Saccharomyces cerevisiae S288C: one gene and its partners. The protein of the gene in region 4 interacts with the protein of the main gene of each other region in a pairwise test. Each region holds a gene or a part of one and is shown on either strand. Other genes may lie near its edges.

Region 1 (3,858 bases), on a different chromosome or scaffold from region 4:
ATGAGTGCAAAAGAAGGGCCCATGTTTGTCGCCCTATGCATTTAGCCAATCATCTTTTTTTTTTGCGTGATCTTTATCAATCGTGATTCTCTGCCTTCTGAGTGAAAAAAGTCATGATCTTCGCGTTATTGCAGCGGAATTTGCCGACAGGACCTAGGTCTTGAGAAAGAAAAGTGATAGGGTAAGTAATGGAAGAAGAGGGCACAGGTCCAATCACGCAGCTTCATTACAGGGCTATAATTGCAAGAATAATAACTTTCAACCATATAGAAATCCAATACAGTATATTGGTATTGTTTAGAAAGGTATTAAGAAGGCAGTAGCATACAGAGTATATATCTATAGGCAGAGCATCAGATCATAAAGATAGTGGTGAAATGGCTAGAACCAAAAGTAGGAAGCGTTCCGGAAATAACCAAAATAAGAATGCGTCTGTGGTAAATAATAAGGCTGAGATCGCCGCCATGATTGATGCAAGAAGGCTTGAGCAAAAGAAAAAGGGTGGGGTGACTAACAGCAAAGGAAAGACGAATAAGGTAGTGGATGCGAAGTTAGAAAAAGAGTTCAAAGACGTTTTACAACGATTTCAAGTGCAAGAGAATGATACGCCGAAGGAAATCACGAAAGATGAAAAGAACAATCATGTCGTTATTGTTGAGAAAAACCCAGTTATGAACAGAAAGCATACAGCAGAAGATGAATTGGAGGATACACCCTCGGATGGTATTGAGGAGCATCTATCGGCAAGAAAACGTAGGAAGACTGAAAAACCTTCACTTTCGCAGTTAAAAAGCCAGGTACCGTATCCTCAAATTATAGAATGGTACGATTGTGACGCAAGATATCCAGGCTTACTAGCGTCAATTAAGTGCACCAAAAATGTCATTCCTGTTCCAAGCCACTGGCAGTCCAAGAAGGAATATCTATCTGGCCGTTCTCTGTTAGGTAAAAGACCTTTTGAACTTCCTGACATTATCAAGAAGACAAATATAGAACAAATGAGATCGACGCTTCCGCAAAGCGGACTGGATGGTCAAGATGAAAAGTCACTAAAGGAGGCCTCAAGAGCAAGAGTGCAGCCGAAAATGGGCGCCTTGGATTTGGATTACAAGAAGTTACACGATGTGTTTTTCAAGATAGGAGCCAACTGGAAACCTGACCATTTGTTATGCTTCGGTGACGTCTATTATGAAAATAGGAATCTTTTCGAGGAAACGAACTGGAAAAGAATGGTTGATCATAAGAGACCGGGGAGAATTAGCCAAGAGCTTCGTGCCATAATGAATTTACCCGAAGGTCAACTACCACCATGGTGTATGAAGATGAAAGACATTGGATTACCTACGGGATATCCTGATCTGAAAATTGCCGGCTTGAATTGGGATATAACGAATTTAAAAGGCGACGTTTACGGAAAAATAATCCCTAATCACCATTCAAGGTCCAAGAAACAGGGTAGAAACTATTTTGGCGCATTGATCTCATTTGAAACCCCTGAATTTGAAAATTCAAAAGAGGATACACAGGCGAATGCGGAAAATGGGCGCCAAGATGACAAAATCGATGATGAAGTAGAGCATAAGTTAGATCACTTCCAGGAAGACATATCCGAAGTGACAAGCGCAGAAGAAAAACTTGAGAGAAACGAAGAGGAATCGGAGAAGCAACTATATACTGTATTGAAATAACTACTAAATATCGCATAGGTACTTCAGTTTTACAAAATTTTACATGTGGTACTATTTCTCACGTACGAGTTTTTTTCTTTTTTAAATGCGGCCCTAAACCATGCTGAAATTTTTCATGAGCTCATCGCAAAATTTATCTCATTATCAGGTCATATAGTCACTCTCAGGAGAATCCTGCTCGATCAAAGTGAGGCAAGTAAATGCGCATATAGAAGAGAGCAAAACTGTCCTATTTACAAGCTTTTCAAAACAATGGGCTCAAAAGTAGCAGGTAAAAAGAAAACCCAGAATGATAATAAACTAGATAACGAAAATGGTTCACAGCAGCGCGAAAATATCAATACCAAGACGCTTTTGAAAGGCAACCTTAAGATATCAAATTACAAATATCTTGAGGTGATTCAACTAGAACATGCTGTGACAAAATTGGTGGAGTCTTACAATAAAATAATTGAACTTTCACCAAATTTGGTAGCTTACAATGAAGCCGTTAACAATCAAGATAGAGTGCCTGTTCAGATACTTCCTTCTCTATCACGTTATCAATTAAAACTGGCAGCTGAATTAAAAACCTTACATGATCTTAAAAAAGACGCAATTTTGACAGAAATTACTGATTATGAAAATGAATTTGATACTGAACAAAAGCAACCTATATTGCAAGAAATCAGTAAAGCTGATATGGAAAAGTTAGAGAAGCTAGAACAAGTTAAAAGGGAAAAGCGAGAGAAAATAGATGTAAATGTGTACGAAAATTTAAATGAAAAGGAAGATGAAGAAGAAGACGAAGGAGAAGATAGCTATGACCCAACAAAGGCTGGTGATATCGTCAAGGCAACAAAATGGCCTCCAAAATTACCAGAGATTCAAGATTTAGCGATTAGGGCCAGGGTATTTATTCACAAATCCACAATAAAGGATAAAGTTTACTTGTCTGGATCAGAAATGATCAACGCACATAATGAAAGACTAGAATTCCTAGGCGATTCGATCTTAAATTCTGTTATGACATTAATTATTTATAACAAGTTTCCCGATTACAGCGAGGGTCAGTTATCAACATTAAGGATGAATTTGGTAAGCAACGAACAGATCAAACAATGGTCAATAATGTACAATTTCCATGAGAAACTTAAGACAAATTTTGACTTGAAGGATGAAAATTCCAATTTTCAAAACGGCAAACTAAAACTGTATGCAGATGTGTTCGAAGCTTACATTGGCGGCTTGATGGAAGATGATCCAAGGAATAATTTGCCCAAAATAAGAAAATGGTTAAGAAAGCTTGCCAAACCTGTCATTGAGGAGGCTACCCGTAATCAAGTTGCCTTGGAGAAGACGGATAAACTTGATATGAATGCTAAAAGGCAGCTTTACTCTTTGATTGGCTATGCTTCATTACGTCTACATTATGTTACCGTAAAAAAACCCACTGCAGTTGATCCTAATTCCATAGTTGAGTGCAGAGTAGGTGATGGAACAGTTTTAGGGACCGGTGTGGGCAGAAATATCAAAATTGCGGGTATTAGGGCTGCAGAAAATGCTCTTCGTGACAAAAAAATGTTAGATTTTTACGCCAAACAAAGAGCTGCCATTCCTAGGAGTGAATCTGTGTTAAAAGATCCCTCACAAAAGAATAAGAAAAGAAAATTCTCAGATACAAGCTGAAACGTTCCTTTTACACAACCATGATGGAACTTGCATTGATTTTCTTTAGCCATATAATTATCGCATATATGTCATTCATAAAACGTTTATAAAACATTAGAATATTTGATATATTTGAATATTTGATAAAAAATTTGATAATTTTTGGGATTCCATTGTTGGTCAAAGCTATAAAATTATGTATGTACTAGAAGTTCTCCTCGAGGGTATAGAAATCCTTAAAATGGAATCGGTATCTTACCATAAATGTTCCACTAGAATGTCATCAGATGAAAAAGACGAAAGAAACATATGACTAGCTCGCGTGGCGTAATGGCAACGCGTCTGACTTCTAATCAGAAGATTATGGGTTCGACCCCCATCGTGAGTGTTTTTTAGTATTTTTTTTAAAAACAATTGTTCCTCTCTAAATTTTAATCAGTTTTTGATCATGAAGGGTTTTGTATGTAGCACATAAACATTTTTACTGAAAGAAAAGGATAGCCTAAATATTAGAATACAA
Region 2 (4,664 bases), on a different chromosome or scaffold from region 4:
CAGTCCGCTGAATTTATAGTAGTTTGGATTAGACTCGGAGCTCGTAGCCAATGCCGCCTTTATCATGAAAGGAACTACTACGGTGAACGCCAAATAATATAGTCTAAATTCCCATGTATTCCATAGCGGAGGAGATGGGCTATTAGAGCTGAGCACAGGGTTACGGGTAACAGTAACGGCACTAGAAGATGAACCATTCTCTTCTTTAGATGAATTGATAAATATCCTTTGTCGCCTTTTGAATTCAATGTCTGGCTTTATTCGTGAATCAAGTGCCTGCACGGAAAAGAAATGTACGATGCAACTCCAGATTCTTAACATCGACATCTGACTTGTAGCGATGACGTCAATTATTTTTGAGCCCTATAATAAGGTAGTTGAGAAGACAAATTTGAAGCACCCAAAAACCCTCAAAACAGTACCTACCTCAAAGCTAGCTTCTCTTTCTTCTTCTATTTGACTTCATTTTTTCCATATTCACCATTGGTACCTTCCATAAACAACTATAACGCAGTACAAATGAAAAAAGAAGAAAAAAAAAAGAAAAAAAAAGAGACCTAAACGCGCCAAGATTACAGGTAAACGAGTAGAACTTTGATCTATGTGCCTGAAAACCCCTCGGGCACAGGGTTCATAACGAAAAAAAAAAAATCGTAAGTAATGGTAACCATAGTAACCGATGCATGGGTTTTAAAAGTCACGTGCTTAAGTCCATTAAGACCGGAAACCTCTACACCAGTTCTCCTTCTGCAAGGGTTTTCTTTTTTTATTTTTTTTGATGGGATGGCTCTCTTTCCCCGTGTTTGTACTTTTGATATATATAGGATATTCATCAAAACAGCGTTTCGAACTCAGCGCTTGCACGATAACATAAGCACCTCGAGACACATTAGGAAAATTTAACATCCTATTTATTTATTGAATTTACAGGCACGGAAGGCCAATTAGTTTAATTCAGACACATATCATGAGAGCAGTCACTAGAAACAAAATAGTCAATAACCTATACTTTTCTACATTTCTCATTGCATTCGCATCAGTGGCCATCGGTTCTGTGCTGCCATGTCCAGCACATTCAGTGGATTCTGATTCACCAGCTGTACAGCAACACAAGCTTCAGCTTGCTCATGAGCAGGAGTTAAAGAGGAAGGATGCTTTAAGTAAAAAGATTTAAACAGGTACGGGCTATCTGGAACTTTTGATAAGTTGTATTCTATCTCTTTTATTTCCTCTTTTTATTTATTTTCGAGTGCCGTAATCTTCGCTACTTCAAGTTTCATAATCAATCGACTTTCTGTATGGGTAAGCATCTGGTGTGATGCAGTTTCATTATGACACCACAAATACAAAAGAGACTATTTAAATATGTATATAGATCACATTCCAAAAAAGAAAACCATTAATAATATCACTCTTTAATATTCCAAATTGAAACGAAAAAGCGCTATTCTTATTCGCTTCCTAACTACCGCCCTAGTTCGTGCTTGCATTTTTTTGTAGAACGATAAATTATGGTATCCCACGTGATTGAGTGTAACCCTGAATTGTTGAAGAGAAAATGAAGCGGAAGAAGCAAAGGACAAAAAACAATTCATTTGATTTTGCCACTTCTAAATGAAGGTCTAATAAAAGCTATCTTGAGCATCTTTATTAGATTCTGCACAGCAACAAGCGATTTTCTTTGGTCAAAATATAATAATTGACTTACGTTTTTCCCGGACTGTCCTTTCATAATATAATAACCATCTGCAAGCCATGTCAGATGAAAACCATAACAGTGATGTTCAAGATATTCCTTCACCTGAACTATCCGTCGATAGTAACTCTAACGAGAATGAATTGATGAATAACTCAAGCGCAGACGATGGAATCGAATTTGACGCCCCAGAGGAAGAAAGAGAAGCCGAAAGGGAGGAGGAAAATGAAGAACAACACGAACTGGAAGATGTGAACGATGAAGAGGAGGAAGATAAGGAGGAAAAAGGAGAGGAAAACGGGGAAGTAATAAACACAGAAGAAGAAGAAGAAGAAGAACATCAACAAAAAGGCGGAAATGATGATGACGATGATGATAATGAAGAGGAAGAAGAGGAAGAAGAGGATGATGACGATGATGATGATGACGACGATGATGATGAAGAAGAAGAAGAAGAAGAAGAAGAAGAAGGCAACGACAACAGTTCGGTAGGCTCAGATAGTGCCGCTGAAGACGGTGAGGATGAGGAAGACAAAAAGGATAAAACCAAAGATAAAGAGGTCGAACTTCGCCGTGAAACATTGGAAAAAGAACAAAAGGACGTAGATGAAGCTATAAAAAAAATAACTCGTGAAGAAAATGATAATACTCACTTTCCAACTAATATGGAAAATGTTAATTACGATCTTTTACAAAAGCAAGTCAAGTACATTATGGACAGTAACATGCTAAATTTGCCTCAGTTTCAACATTTACCTCAAGAAGAAAAGATGTCTGCGATTTTAGCAATGTTAAATTCAAATTCTGACACAGCTCTTTCCGTACCTCCTCATGATAGTACTATCTCAACAACAGCTAGCGCCTCAGCCACAAGCGGCGCAAGAAGCAATGATCAAAGAAAACCTCCATTGTCAGATGCCCAAAGACGTATGAGATTTCCTAGGGCGGATTTATCTAAGCCGATTACCGAAGAAGAACACGACCGTTATGCAGCCTATTTGCACGGTGAAAATAAAATCACCGAGATGCACAATATTCCTCCGAAGTCAAGATTATTCATTGGTAATTTGCCGCTAAAGAACGTTTCTAAGGAGGATTTATTTAGGATTTTCTCTCCATACGGTCATATCATGCAAATCAATATCAAAAATGCCTTTGGATTCATTCAGTTTGACAACCCTCAAAGCGTTAGAGATGCAATTGAATGCGAGTCTCAAGAAATGAACTTTGGCAAAAAGTTGATCCTGGAAGTTTCTAGCTCGAATGCTCGTCCTCAATTTGATCATGGTGATCACGGTACAAACAGTAGTTCTACTTTTATTTCTTCCGCAAAACGACCATTTCAAACTGAATCTGGTGACATGTACAATGACGACAATGGTGCTGGCTACAAGAAATCCAGAAGACACACCGTTTCTTGCAACATTTTCGTTAAAAGAACCGCAGATCGTACGTATGCCATTGAGGTTTTCAACAGGTTTAGGGACGGGACTGGTTTGGAAACTGATATGATTTTCTTGAAACCAAGAATGGAACTGGGAAAGCTTATCAATGATGCCGCATATAATGGGGTGTGGGGCGTTGTTTTAGTTAATAAAACACACAATGTAGATGTTCAAACTTTCTACAAAGGCTCACAAGGTGAAACGAAATTTGATGAATATATTAGCATATCCGCTGATGACGCAGTTGCCATTTTTAATAACATCAAAAACAACAGAAATAATTCTCGTCCTACTGATTACCGTGCTATGAGCCATCAGCAAAACATATATGGCGCTCCTCCTCTTCCTGTTCCAAACGGCCCAGCTGTCGGACCTCCTCCTCAAACAAACTATTACCAGGGTTACAGTATGCCTCCTCCACAACAACAACAGCAACAGCCATATGGTAATTATGGGATGCCACCACCATCCCATGACCAAGGATATGGTTCTCAACCTCCAATTCCAATGAATCAGAGCTACGGTCGCTACCAGACTTCTATTCCACCACCACCTCCACAACAACAAATTCCTCAAGGGTATGGTCGTTATCAGGCTGGTCCGCCTCCTCAACCACCTTCTCAAACTCCAATGGACCAGCAACAACTATTATCTGCCATTCAAAACCTTCCACCTAACGTTGTATCGAATTTGCTTTCAATGGCCCAACAACAGCAACAACAACCTCATGCTCAGCAGCAATTGGTTGGTTTAATACAATCAATGCAAGGCCAGGCTCCTCAACAACAGCAACAACAGTTGGGTGGATATTCCTCTATGAACTCATCCTCTCCCCCTCCTATGAGTACCAATTACAATGGTCAAAATATATCTGCAAAACCCTCTGCCCCACCAATGTCACACCAACCTCCGCCACCTCAACAACAACAACAACAACAACAACAGCAACAGCAACAGCAACAGCAACCTGCTGGCAATAATGTTCAAAGTCTATTAGATAGTTTAGCAAAACTACAAAAATAGACTCCCTTTTTTCAATCTTTTCCATTTCTTGTACATTATACTTGAATTCTTTTAATTGGACGAAAAATTTTTAAGGAAAGTAGATTGATATGGTTTGCATAAATTCGACATAGCGGTTTATGCTTTAATCGTTTTCCCTTCCCAAATTGGACTAGGACTTAATTCTTACTATTGCTGCATCTCTTTCAGAACGAAAAACTCTTTACCCTGTTATAAATTTCTTTTATTTCTTCCTTATCAAATGCTATTTGGTCTATTTATTTCACTTACACGCACCTCTTCATTTGTTTCCTCTGCCAAGAGAATGGCTTTTCATTTCTTTTTCTTCTCTTTAGTTAAATGTTCTTATATCAAAACTTTGTAAAATTGCTTTGTAAACAGATTATTAAGTACCGCTCTATTTACCCCATAACGAAAAGAAGTTCCGCGCTTAGGACACCTTTCCCTAGAGGTTCTTGTTTGATTTGTTTTAGTCATCTGCCTGTCGTTTATTTTAGTTT
Region 3 (5,536 bases), on a different chromosome or scaffold from region 4:
CACTTCGGCAGCCCCATCACATGAACAGTCAGGAATCATCTGCTGCTGTTGCAGCCGTATTCTCACTACATCCATCGGTGTCAAAATCAAAGAAGTGAGTACTGATCCAGCACCGGCACTTAACATTCGTTCTTTTAAGGTCAGGCTGTTACTTGTATTGCGATCACTCATATCGTATTATCAACACCTCGTTTCCTTTCCTACGATACTTTATGGCTTTGGCTCATACGATTCCTGTGAAGTGAACTGGCACAAATATGAGGGTAGTGTGCCCCAATTCCAGAGGAGTGATCTTCCCGGAAATATGCAAAAATGACAGAATGTGTCTTATTCTCTAATTGCTATTCTGAGATCTTCAAGATGGCGAAAAATAACGTTGCGCGTGTTTGGGTGGGTGCCAAAAGTGTCATACCTCACCGACGCAAAGATACCAAAAGGACCGTATATATCTACTATTCCTGGATCGGTTGACTTTGTTAACATGCAGAAACAAAGGTAATGTTTATAAATAGTAAATCATACATAAGTATATGTTATTACATCTTTCTTTTCTTTAGTTTACCTGTTGCGGTTGAAATTCTCTTACTTGTATTGAGCTTCTTATCACCAGATATGTACTCCCTTGGAAAAAATTCATTAATCCTTTTTTGCTTCCCCTTCTTTTTGCGTTTATTAACATCTCTAATTAAGGGAATGAGAATTTCATCAGACTTTTCGTGTGGCCAACCTAGTTGAGTCTTCATGAATGAACGAAGCATATCGAGATCTGGTACCCCCCAAACAAACGGCGTGGTATCGTGATCGACTTCTGGTCTCATATACGCATCATAAACCATGACGCTAGGAAAATCATCATCTAAGATAATTTCGTTATTTACCAGTTTTTTTCTCAGGTCTTTTTCAAATTTATTTTCCGTTTCTTGCTTACGTTTATCAAACTGCCCATTATTATACCAGTCTTTAAAATTTTTTAGGTTTCCAAATTCTGCAATCACTTCAATGCTTGAAACGGGACCCATACCCTTCAATCCATTCGTGTAATCGCTCCCTAAAAGCTGTGCCAACTCAATCATATTCTTTCTATCCAAGCCCAATAATTTTAAAATAGATTCCGCATCATAAAATTCAACATAGTTCTTTTCGTGGAACATATTTTTGTAGATCTTTGTACCTCCAAATAGGAAAACATCACTGTCATCGGTAATTATACCATCGACAAGGTTTAGTTGTAACAATTCCGCACACTGTGCTTCAGCTTCCATAGGCGCAGTGATATAGGGGATTCCAAACCTCGATAGTAATTCTTGCACTTCTTTGATCATATCCATAGTTACCTCATCCGAATCTCTTTTATCCTTCATCTGTTGTTCGAATAATTCATCCTCCACAAAAGCGTTCTCGGCAACGTTTCTTTCAGCAGAAGTGGACAAAGTCGTGTTTTTAAATGTATCAAACTCTTCTTGTTCCTTTATCATATTTTCTACTATGTTATCTTCTTCATCTTCGGAGAAGTCATAGTCGAATATAAGAGGCTTTCTATGCTCCTTATTTATAGATTCGACTTTTCTACTATCGTTATCCTCTGCTTCTTTTGAAATCTGAGATTTAGTGGGAACGTCCTCAAATAGTTCTTCTGATAAAACTTCTAAGTCATCGTCCTTGTTTTCATCATTGGAGCTCTCTTTCTCGCTTTCTCTTTCTAATATTTCCGTAGCATTTAAGCCTGTCAAGAGTTCATAGCTACTCCCTTTATTGGTAGTTTCTGCTCCACTTTCTTGTTCATTTCTTACGTTTTTATCTTCCACGAAATTTGTTGTGTTATAGGGATTATACAACTGCTGGGAAGCAGTTGAAGAAAACCAGCTCGGCATTTCAGGAATTGGAGACTTTTCCTTCGTGGCTTCTTGGGACACATTACTCTCGGTATTCTTTTGAAAAAGCAGGGAATTTTCATTGTTAAAATCAAACTGTGGTATCTTGTGAGAAATAAAATTCAGGTTTTGCTCCCCCTCTGTTAAAATAGCCCCTTTATCCTCCTGCTGAGACGGTGGCCTAAACTCAGAAAGAACTGTCTTGCTGGTCCTTTTGATGACCGACTCTGATTTGCTATTCAAATTTGTGACATGATACGGTTGCTTACTATCCGGTTGTGCGCCAAGTAATCCATACTGTACTATTGGTGGACGAGCCTCTGTACCTTTTGACGTTACCGGCTTAGCGATTTTTGATTTGTCGTCCGCTTCAGGTTTCTTTTCCATCTTAGAAAGTTGCACTGCCTCCATCATTTCAATTTCCTCAATTTGTTTCAGGTAATCCTCATCGTCGTCTTCCACGCTGATTCTGCTAATTCTCATTGTTGGAGTAGTCTTGGAGGGCGATGCCTGATCATGTCTTTTGTCCAAAAACGATTTACTGCCAGCGTTGTTTAGGGATTGGCCCATGTAAGGCAACCTTGCAGCTTTCAAAGAAAAATCTTCCACAAACTTGACGTTCTTGGGCTTGAGTTCAACTTCTTCCCACTCACATTCATCAGAGTCACATCCCTCATCTTCTGACCGGTTACTCCTTTTCTGTGGAGCTGTCGTCGCGTTAGAAGACTCATGTCGCACTATTTTTAAGGAATTATCTTCCAAATCATCCCATCGGAGCACGTCCCCGTCCTCAGCATTACTATCTAACTGCTTTACCAAAGCGCCTGCATCTTTATCGTCTATTACGATTGCTTTTTGCGCATCAGAGCCATCGTTTGCCCCTAGTCCAAGAATCCACCCGTTATTAGTCTTAGTCAACTTGTACTCTTTACTCTTTTGGCCGGATATCCTATTGATCACCTCCTCGTTCAGCTTAGACGCTCCACCATCCTGAAACCCAGTAGTGTTGATTAACTTTTGAGTAAAAAAATTCCTCCTTTTCACCATGTCTATTTGAAATCTTGAGAAATCCATACTATTTGGGAAGATGGTCTCCAATTGTTCTTTCGAGTATCCCATCCTCAGTCTTGATTTCAACCTCAACGACGATAATATCAAATACTGTGTGGCCTTTGGCAGCTCTTCAAATTCGGCCGATGCTGGATTTATAGTGTCTAAATCAATGTCTTCCAGTCCATCACCGTTTATCGAATTCATCAGTTTTTCAAAAGTTTTATTAGAGTTAACTCTTGCATCTTCCTTATCGTATTTGAATCCCGGTATATCGGGCAAGTCCCACTCGTCCTGAGGTTTGAAGATCTGCACACTACTGCCACTACTCGGTGTAGAGTTTTTTACGTTATCGTTTGAGCCGTTTTGCAATTGTAAAGCCAGCAGCTTCCTAGCGGTGGATTTCGCACTCTCTCGTTTTCCCTGTCTTCTTTCTTTCCTCTGCCGTATTGTTTCCCTTTTCAATACGGGCACACCACCATCAAAGACGAATACCGGCCTAATGCCAAAGTATAATAGCTTACAAATTCTTCTAAAGAACCCAGTAATATGAGAATTCTTCACTGCATTCCCCTCCTGATCACGGACAGCTTTCAAAAACTGATATATCCAAATGGAGGCATCTACTGCCATTCTCTTATCTTCCAAGGATTCCAGCCTGACCGGTCTTGCCGTAGGACCTGCAATATCCCAAAATGAATGCACACCCATGTCTGAAGTTTGGCGTTCTCCCGAAAATGCTTTTCTTCATGGATGACGTGTAGAACCTTCAATGATTTACGTACAGTTTTTCAATCCCTTTAAGGTCTCTATATGTGGCGGCATCTTTTCTTTTTCTTTTCTTTTTTTTTTTTTCACTCTCCCTTTTAATGCCTCCACGGAGGTTCGAATGGGTTATACTAGAAAGAAAAAAAAATAGTGATAATTAACAATGAAAAAAAAAAAACAGCAACAAAATGTGGTATTGGGGTCACACCACTCATTGACTCACATCCTCTGGAAACATCAAAAAGCTACCAAAAAAGAAAAAAAAAAAAATTCAAGTGCGAAGTTTCCGCATATGCAAACCTTACTTATTGTATAATATTGGTAACAGCAGCTACTAAGCTCCCTGACTCTGATTTCTCTCTCTGTCTCTTTTGAGGAGTACCTTCTGCGCTACTGTGTTCCAATGGTATCTGCGCCTTGAAAATCAATCACAAACGCTCTTGCTATGGCCTGCCTTGGACACGATACGTCGCTGCTTATGCCGCCAGGTGTCAGTAAATGCTCTGACGCACCCATTCACCCCGCGCACTAATTTGCAAAATTTGGGGGCAGTTTGGGAATACTCCATAGAAAAAATCGACTTCAAATCAATTCCGCACAACGTCGCCGTGTTGGCTAAAGTGAACGGAAAATGGACGACATGGTAAAAGAACAGATATGTACATATACAGAAGCCGCGATTTCACATGCCGGCCATTATGGCACACAACCAGGTCTTGTACTGTCACTATGTGCGTTCCGGAACGCCTGTACAGTCCATGGTGAACCATTTATTTATTTATTATTATTATTTTGTACATTATTATTTATGCTATATGTTATTATTATTATCACTATTTAATATTATTATTCGGGTCCAGGTGAAATAACAAAGTCTGGCGCCAGTCACTTGTCTGGGTGCCCGTATTCTCTGTTACAGCGGTATCCCTCTGGATTCTGCAATCGTCGCCGGCTTCTACTAATTTTTCCTTTCCTTTTTGTTTTTTTTTTTTTTTAGTTTTTTATTTTCTAGTTTCCTGCTCGTATTCTGTTGGTTTTTCCAGTGTCTCTCTCCTTTTACAAGTCACCCATTCTCTGCGAAGAAGCGGTCGCACCAACAAAATAGAAAATACCACCGGACGCCGGATCGCTTATTACTCGCAATCATAGTTACCAATCACAGCCGGGCATACTCGGGATCTACCGTAGAATCCTATGCGTCACACATGAGGACAGGTTACGAACCGTCGAAGGCTTCGCGGCGTGTGTGATTAGTATTGTTTTGACCTCATCCATACACCCTGAAATATCTGTCGCATCTCCGATTACGTTAAAAATTCTGGATAATATATAAACCATGAGTTTTCCTTTCTTTGAAGTATGTTCCTACTCGAGATCCTTTTGTTATTTTATTGCCATTTTTTTTTTGTTTCATATGTACTTCTTATCTACTATTTATATTTCTCTATATTAACTAACTCTCCAAGCTATAAGCATACGTCCATATTTACTGTCTTAGAAGTCGTATTCACATCACAGTTTTCCCCCTCTTCGCCTTTTTCAAACTATTTTCCCCCGTGAGACAGCGACTGAAAAAAAAACGACTGCGCAGAAGGCTTATATAAAAAAAAAAAGAAATATTTCTTCACTTTCGAGCATTGAACTATTGTCATTACCTCTAGATGAGCAACAAATTTACAATGGAGTCACCTAAGCATTTGGTGGATGATGTGCTTTTCATATCACCCACCAATGATGGATCAGAAGAAAAGCCTACGGAAGTCACGTTCCAGGAAGATGAAGGCCATGACGCTAGCTTGCATAATCGCAGCCATGACAAGAAGTCGGAACTTGCCACCGAACGGGAA
Region 4 (7,720 bases):
GCCTAAGCGAATGGTGAACGTCAAAGAAAACGAAGTCTTAAAAGGTTTCAAGACTGTCGTTGATCAGCGTATCGAACCGGTATCTTTCTTTGTTCCAAGGAGATCAGAGGAGTTCCAAGAAGATATCTACCCGGATGCACCTTCCAATAAGCCAGCTTTAACTGCTGAAGAGTGGTTTTCTGGCAAGTCTGTTGAAGGTCCAATTCTCGTTAGTATGAGATCTATCTATGACGGTTCCGCACCAAGCTTTCATGAGGCTAAAAGACCTCAACAGCCAACAACTCAAGAAACAGCTCTTGAAGAGAAAAAGGAGCAGCCTAAAGTGGAGAAGCCAATCAGCGAATCCGAAAAGGAGGTGAAACAAGAAGCTCCAAAATCTCCCTCACCGCTAAAGTCGGCCTCCTCATCTTCTACAATCAACCATGTATTAAAGGAAGATAATTCGATCAACAAGTTGTTGAAGAAATCCTCCGATATTGATCAAGTTAACAACGCCGAAGATCCGTCTAGGGATACCTCCGGATGGGAAGAAGCCGATGATGAGCCAGCTCCTATCAAAATCGAAACCCCAGTCACTCCAACAGAAACTAAAAAGGATCGCACACCTAAGGTCGAACCTTCAAAAGAATTGAAGCCAGAGCCAGTGTCTATCGCAACAGATAGAAAACAGGAGCAAAGCTTACCTCAAGAAGAGAAGTCCTCTGAGAAAACAAAGTCCCCTGAGCAGGAAAAATCCGCAACACCTCCTTCTTCAATTACGGCTGCTAAGACAGCCATTACTGCCAGCAGTAAGGAAGAGCCATCCGCGGCAAGGACATCACCTAAGTCATTGGGTTTAAAAAAGTCTGTCGAAAAACTATCTACATTGGTTCTGCAATTAGAAGATGTAGTTGATAAATTAACGAAAGCAAATCTTGACAAAGATGAGCGCCTGTTAAAGTTGGAACAAAAAATTGGCGAACTGTCAAAATGAAAATTTTTTGTACTTTTAATGATAAAATTAAGTGAGTCCTTTTTATAGGAAAGATGTATTTTGATTATATGTAATGTACATAAGACGGCGGCGATAATAATGCACTTAGAAAGTGAATCATGTTCACCTGTCCACTAACAAAAAAGGAAACAAAATGTTGCTTTCCCACAGGAAAAAGAATGTTTTTGACAAAACACTAAGCGTTATGTGACCAATGTATAATTGTCCTCATCATATAGTTTTATGCAAGCATAAATAAGTCTTTCTTTTAGTTAAAACGCGTTACATAGTAAAGGTAACCCTGAATGAATTTTTATTTATATTTTTCTTCGCATATTTTAGGATCTTGAAAAATTAACCACAAGTTAGAAGTTGATGAGATCAGGAATTCTAACAAAAGGTCATTGGTTAGGTTTATTTTGTAGGTGCACGTTTGCAACTTTATTCCTTTTGTTTCAAAGTTATAGAGCTTTCATTTTCTCATTCTTCTCTAGTGTAGGTCATTTCTCCTGCATATTAACCTACTAGAAAAGTTTACGAAGCTTCATAGGAACGAATAATCGATCACTTTAAAGGCTTCCCGCACTTTAATCTTATCATCTACACCTACAAAAAAGCTCTACTTTGTCATTTATTTTCTACTTCATCTCTGTATGGCATCTATCTCTATATATATAAAAAAGCGCATCTGTTTATTATAAATGAATTCCAACAATCCTGATAATAATAATAGCAACAACATTAATAATAATAATAAGGATAAGGATATTGCCCCCAATAGCGATGTTCAGCTAGCTACCGTCTATACCAAGGCAAAGTCTTACATTCCTCAGATTGAACAAGTTTATCAAGGCACAAATCCAAATATTCAAGAGGCAAAATTATTAGGGGAGTTATTACAAGTTCTAGCAGAAGTTCCCAAGGGTACGCATTTATTTTGCGACCCCATACTTGAACCAATATCAATTTTTTCCCTAACCATTTTCTCATTCAATGAAGAAGCTACGGCCACATGGCTGAAGAATCATTTTAATCCAATTCTCTCTGTTTGTGATAAATGCATTCTAAATTTTGCGAGAGGGAAGTGCAAAATGTTACAACATTTTGCCATTCAAAGACATGTGCCGCATGAACATGTAGCCAAGTTTAATGACATCGTATGCCAATGGAGGGTGGAGGCTGTTTTTCCTATTCTTAGAAATATTTCCGTTAACGATAATACGGGAATTAACATTACAAATGAAATTGAAACTGCAATGTACGAGTGTCTCTGTAATCCGCATATGTTGAGGCTTAACAAGCAACTTAAGGCTACTTTCGAAGCAATCTTCAAATTTTTCTACGACACAAAGCATCGTTTGTTGGACGTTACGAATCCATTAAGCATAAAAACCTTTATATCAGGTGTCATATTTTGCTGGTGTGAAGGTTCAAAAGAGGAAAATGAGTGGTCACGAGCTTTTCTAAAGGATTTATACTCAAGAAATTTCCATATAAATCTTTCTAACCTGACACCGGATATTATTGAGGAAGTTTATATCCATATTTTATTCTTACAGAATCCGGCAAACTGGACAGAGATTGTGGTATCTCAATTCTGGTCGAGATTACTACCGGTTTTCAATTTATTTGATAAAGACGTCTTCATAGAGTACTTTCAGGTCCCAAAAAATGTGGAATCTTTAAAAAAAACATTCAAATTTCCGTTAGAGCCAATTTTTAAAATGTGGTACAATCACTTAAGCAAATCATATCATGATAAGCCACTAGACTTTTTGTTAAGAGGATTAACAATGTTCTTGAATAAATTTGGCTCCGAGTTTTGGTCCAAAATTGAACCCTTCACATTCCATAGCATTTTGGATATAATTTTCAATAGAGATTCATTCCCAATCAAACTAATCAAAATTCAAGACAATCCAATTGTTGAGCATCAAACAGAAGTTTACTTTCAACTTACCGGTTCTGTAACCGATTTACTTTCTTGGACCTTACCATTTTATCATGCACTGTCACCATCCAAAAGAATTCAAATGGTTAGAAAGGTCTCAATGGCGTTCCTGCGTATAATAGCCAATTATCCATCCCTAAAATCCATTCCCAAAGCTTGTTTAATGAATTCAGCAACTGCCTTGTTGAGGGCTGTGTTGACTATTAAGGAAAATGAAAGGGCAATGCTTTATAAGAATGATGAATTTGAAACAGTACTGTTGACTAAAACAGATTCTAGAGCTTTGCTCAACAATCCTTTGATCCAAGACATAATAATTAGATCAGCTTCGAATCCTAACGACTTTTATCCTGGGCTAGGTGCTGCTTCTGCATCGGTGGCCACATCCACGATGATGGTATTGGCAGAATGTATCGATTTTGATATACTGTTATTATGTCATCGAACGTTTAAGCTTTATTCAGGTAAACCAATTAGCGAAATTCCAATTTCAACCAACGTCTTGGAAAATGTTACAAATAAAATTGACCTGAGATCTTTTCATGACGGTCCATTGCTGGCCAAACAGCTGCTAGTATCTTTAAAAAATATTAATGGTCTTTTGATAGTACCGTCAAATACTGCCGTAGCTGAGGCACACAACGCATTGAATCAGAAGTTTTTGCTGCTATCAACGAGATTAATGGAAAAATTTGCGGATATTTTGCCCGGTCAACTGTCTAAAATCCTTGCGGATGAAGATGCATCGCAGGGTTTTTGGTCCTGCATATTCTCCTCTGATAAACACTTGTATCAAGCAGCTACTAATATTTTATACAATACATTTGACGTTGAGGGTAGACTGGAAGGTATCTTAGCGATTCTGAATAGTAATTTGACCGTTAACTTGAAGAATATAAACGTGATGCTACAAAGATTAATCAATTGTGAATTCTATGAGCCTTGCCCCCGTGCTGTTCGTGTTTTGATGGACGTAGTGAGTGCATTTGTAGACCCGATTTCTGGTGTGTTTGCTAATTTCCAAACTTTGAAGAGCCAAAATACCGAAAAGGAATTTTTAAAATTCTGGGAATCATGTTGGTTATTCTTGGATACGATTTATAAGTTTACTTTGAAATGGGCTTCTAAATATGACTATTCTGAACTGGAAAATTTCACCAAAGATACTTTAGATCTAAGTCGCTCTTTGGTGGACTCCTTTAGAGAATTTTCAGATATTCTTCATGACCAAACGAAAAATTTACTTCTCAACGTTTTAGAAACCTTTAAGAATATGTTGTATTGGCTGAGATTGAGCGACGAAGTACTTTTGGAATCTTGTGTTAGATTAATTATAAGCACGTCTGATTTAGCACATGAAAAGCATGTGAAAGTGGATGATTCCTTGGTAGAAATGATGGCCAAGTACGCCTCGAAGGCAAAGAGATTTTCAAATAAGTTGACGGAGCAACAGGCGAGTGAGATTCTACAAAAGGCTAAAATATTCAATAAAGCACTCACGGAAGAGGTCGCTACAGAAGCTGAAAACTACAGAAAAGAAAAGGAATTATCAAGACTTGGGAAGGTGATCGACTTAACGGATTCTGTGCCGGCGTCACCATCCCTCTCGCCCTCTCTGTCTTCAACCATTGCTAGTTCTTCTGCTGAATCCAGGGCAGACTATTTACAAAGAAAAGCTTTATCTTCTTCAATAACTGGGAGACCAAGAGTAGCTCAGCCTAAAATAACATCTTTTGGTACGTTCCAATCATCAGCTAATGCTAAACTGCATCGTACAAAACCTGTTAAGCCTTTATCCAAAATGGAATTAGCTAGGATGCAATTATTAAACAACAGAGTTGTTCATCCACCTAGTGCGCCAGCTTTCCATACAAAGAGTAGGGGTTTGTCTAACAAAAACGACGATAGCAGTAGTGAGGAGAGTGACAACGATATAGAAAGCGCTCGGGAGCTTTTTGCTATTGCTAAGGCAAAAGGCAAAGGAATACAAACTGTCGATATTAATGGTAAGGTTGTCAAGAGACAAACTGCGGCTGAATTGGCTAAACAGGAGTTAGAACATATGAGAAAGAGATTAAATGTTGATATGAACCCTCTATATGAAATCATATTGCAATGGGATTACACCAGAAATAGTGAATATCCTGATGATGAGCCTATTGGTAATTATTCTGACGTAAAGGATTTCTTCAACTCTCCTGCTGACTACCAAAAAGTCATGAAGCCTTTACTACTTCTAGAATCTTGGCAAGGTCTATGTTCTTCACGTGATAGAGAGGACTATAAACCTTTCAGTATTATTGTAGGAAATCGAACTGCTGTGTCAGATTTCTATGATGTGTATGCCTCTGTCGCTAAACAAGTCATACAGGATTGTGGTATTTCTGAATCTGACTTAATTGTAATGGCTTATTTACCCGATTTTCGACCAGACAAAAGGTTGTCCAGTGATGATTTCAAGAAAGCACAACATACATGTTTAGCAAAGGTGAGAACATTGAAAAATACCAAAGGTGGTAATGTTGATGTCACATTACGAATTCATAGAAATCATTCTTTCAGTAAATTTTTGACACTAAGATCAGAGATATATTGTGTGAAGGTTATGCAAATGACGACTATTGAAAGAGAGTATTCAACACTGGAAGGGCTGGAATACTATGACTTAGTTGGCCAAATTCTACAGGCTAAACCATCGCCTCCCGTAAATGTGGATGCGGCAGAAATTGAAACAGTTAAGAAAAGCTATAAGCTCAATACGTCGCAGGCTGAGGCCATCGTTAATTCGGTATCTAAAGAAGGTTTTTCTTTAATTCAGGGTCCACCTGGTACGGGTAAAACAAAGACTATACTGGGTATTATTGGTTACTTTTTGTCTACAAAGAATGCCTCATCTTCAAATGTCATCAAAGTGCCACTAGAAAAGAACTCATCGAATACTGAACAACTGTTAAAAAAGCAAAAAATTCTAATCTGTGCCCCCAGTAATGCCGCTGTGGACGAAATCTGCCTCAGACTGAAGAGTGGAGTGTATGACAAGCAGGGGCATCAATTTAAACCTCAATTGGTCCGTGTAGGTAGGTCAGACGTTGTAAACGTTGCAATTAAGGACCTTACTTTAGAAGAACTTGTGGATAAAAGGATAGGTGAAAGGAATTACGAAATCAGAACAGATCCGGAACTAGAACGTAAATTTAATAATGCTGTGACTAAAAGAAGAGAATTGAGAGGAAAATTAGACTCTGAGAGTGGTAATCCAGAAAGTCCAATGTCAACCGAAGATATCAGTAAATTACAACTTAAGATTAGGGAGCTAAGTAAAATAATCAATGAACTTGGCCGTGATAGGGACGAAATGCGTGAGAAGAATTCCGTAAATTATAGGAATAGGGATTTGGATAGAAGGAATGCACAGGCCCATATCTTGGCGGTTAGTGACATCATATGTTCGACTTTATCTGGTTCAGCCCATGATGTACTCGCAACAATGGGTATTAAATTTGATACGGTCATTATAGATGAAGCATGTCAATGTACCGAACTTTCTTCAATTATTCCTCTCAGGTATGGAGGGAAGCGTTGTATTATGGTTGGTGATCCTAACCAACTACCACCAACTGTTCTTTCAGGTGCAGCAAGCAATTTTAAATACAATCAGTCACTGTTCGTTAGAATGGAGAAAAATAGCTCCCCATACTTGCTGGATGTTCAATACCGTATGCATCCTTCCATCAGTAAATTCCCCTCTTCTGAATTTTATCAGGGACGACTAAAAGACGGCCCTGGTATGGATATCTTGAACAAAAGACCCTGGCACCAGCTTGAGCCATTAGCTCCCTACAAATTTTTTGACATCATTAGTGGTAGGCAAGAACAAAATGCGAAGACTATGTCTTATACAAATATGGAGGAAATACGTGTTGCCATTGAGTTAGTTGACTACCTTTTCAGAAAATTCGATAATAAAATTGATTTCACGGGAAAAATCGGTATAATTTCACCTTATAGAGAGCAAATGCAAAAAATGCGTAAAGAGTTTGCCCGCTATTTTGGAGGCATGATCAACAAATCAATCGATTTCAATACAATCGACGGTTTCCAAGGTCAAGAAAAAGAAATCATCTTGATATCGTGTGTCCGTGCCGATGATACGAAATCTAGTGTCGGTTTTTTAAAGGACTTTCGTCGTATGAATGTGGCTCTGACTAGAGCCAAGACAAGTATTTGGGTTTTGGGACATCAAAGGTCTCTGGCTAAAAGCAAGTTATGGAGAGATTTGATTGAAGATGCAAAAGATAGAAGTTGTCTTGCATATGCTTGCTCGGGTTTCCTGGATCCCAGAAATAATAGAGCTCAAAGTATTTTAAGAAAGTTCAATGTACCCGTACCATCAGAGCAAGAAGATGATTATAAGCTACCCATGGAATATATTACGCAAGGCCCCGATGAGGTAAAATCCAATAAGGACACAAAGAAGAGAAGAGTTGTCGATGAAGGTGAAGAGGCAGATAAAGCTGTAAAGAAAAAGAAGAAAGAGAAGAAGAAGGAAAAGAAAAAGTCCAAGGCAGATGATAAGAAAAAGAATAACAAGAAGGCAGAATCGCCCAGCACCTCATCTGGTACAAAGAAAAAGTCATCCATTTTTGGTGGAATGAGTGTACCGAGTGCCGTAGTTCCTAAAACTTTTCCTGATGTGGACAGCAACAAAAAGGCAGCAGCAGTTGTTGGTAAAAAGAAAAATAACAAACACGTTTGTTTTTCGGATGATGTTAGTTTCATACCAAGAAATGACGAAC

What was found.
Region 1: the proteins of SEN1 (region 4) and RNT1 interact in a two-hybrid assay, tested with the Saccharomyces cerevisiae proteins (3 studies listed by BioGRID).
Region 2: the proteins of SEN1 (region 4) and NAB3 interact in binary tests that used the Saccharomyces cerevisiae proteins (3 or more experiments, as listed by UniProt).
Region 3: the proteins of SEN1 (region 4) and RAD2 interact in binary tests that used the Saccharomyces cerevisiae proteins (3 or more experiments, as listed by UniProt).

What each region holds. Positions count from the first base shown.
Region 1 is NC_001145.3:747,760-751,617, reverse strand, and holds RNT1 (ribonuclease III), read left to right. Parts: upstream 1-1,940; coding exon 1,941-3,356; downstream 3,357-3,858. Other genes in the region: U2 snRNP complex subunit CUS1, read left to right, coding at 378-1,688. UniProt on the Saccharomyces cerevisiae protein: DsRNA-specific nuclease that cleaves eukaryotic pre-ribosomal RNA at the U3 snoRNP-dependent A0 site in the 5'-external transcribed spacer (ETS) and in the 3'-ETS. In vitro, cleaves synthetic 5'-ETS RNA A0 site in the absence of snoRNA or other factors.
Region 2 is NC_001148.4:184,817-189,480, reverse strand, and holds NAB3 (Nab3p), read left to right. Parts: upstream 1-1,755; coding exon 1,756-4,164; downstream 4,165-4,664. Other genes in the region: GUP2 (putative O-acyltransferase), read right to left, coding at 1-327; COA2 (Coa2p), read left to right, coding at 968-1,174. UniProt on the Saccharomyces cerevisiae protein: May be required for packaging pre-mRNAs into ribonucleoprotein structures amenable to efficient nuclear RNA processing. Binds to poly(A)+ RNA. Appears to act in the maintenance of CLN3 mRNA levels.
Region 3 is NC_001139.9:1,007,135-1,012,670, forward strand, and holds RAD2 (ssDNA endodeoxyribonuclease RAD2), read right to left. Parts: upstream 3,633-5,536; coding exon 537-3,632; downstream 1-536. Other genes in the region: MTM1 (Mtm1p), read right to left, coding at 1-171; TNA1 (Tna1p), read left to right, coding at 5,351-5,536. UniProt on the Saccharomyces cerevisiae protein: Single-stranded DNA endonuclease involved in excision repair of DNA damaged with UV light, bulky adducts, or cross-linking agents. Essential for the incision step of excision-repair.
Region 4 is NC_001144.5:991,760-999,479, forward strand, and holds the start of SEN1 (DNA/RNA helicase SEN1), read left to right. Parts: upstream 1-1,674; coding exon 1,675-7,720. Other genes in the region: CRN1 (coronin), read left to right, coding at 1-973. UniProt on the Saccharomyces cerevisiae protein: ATP-dependent 5'->3' DNA/RNA helicase required for the expression and maturation of diverse classes of non-protein-coding RNAs like precursor tRNAs, rRNAs and small nuclear (snRNA) and nucleolar (snoRNA) RNAs.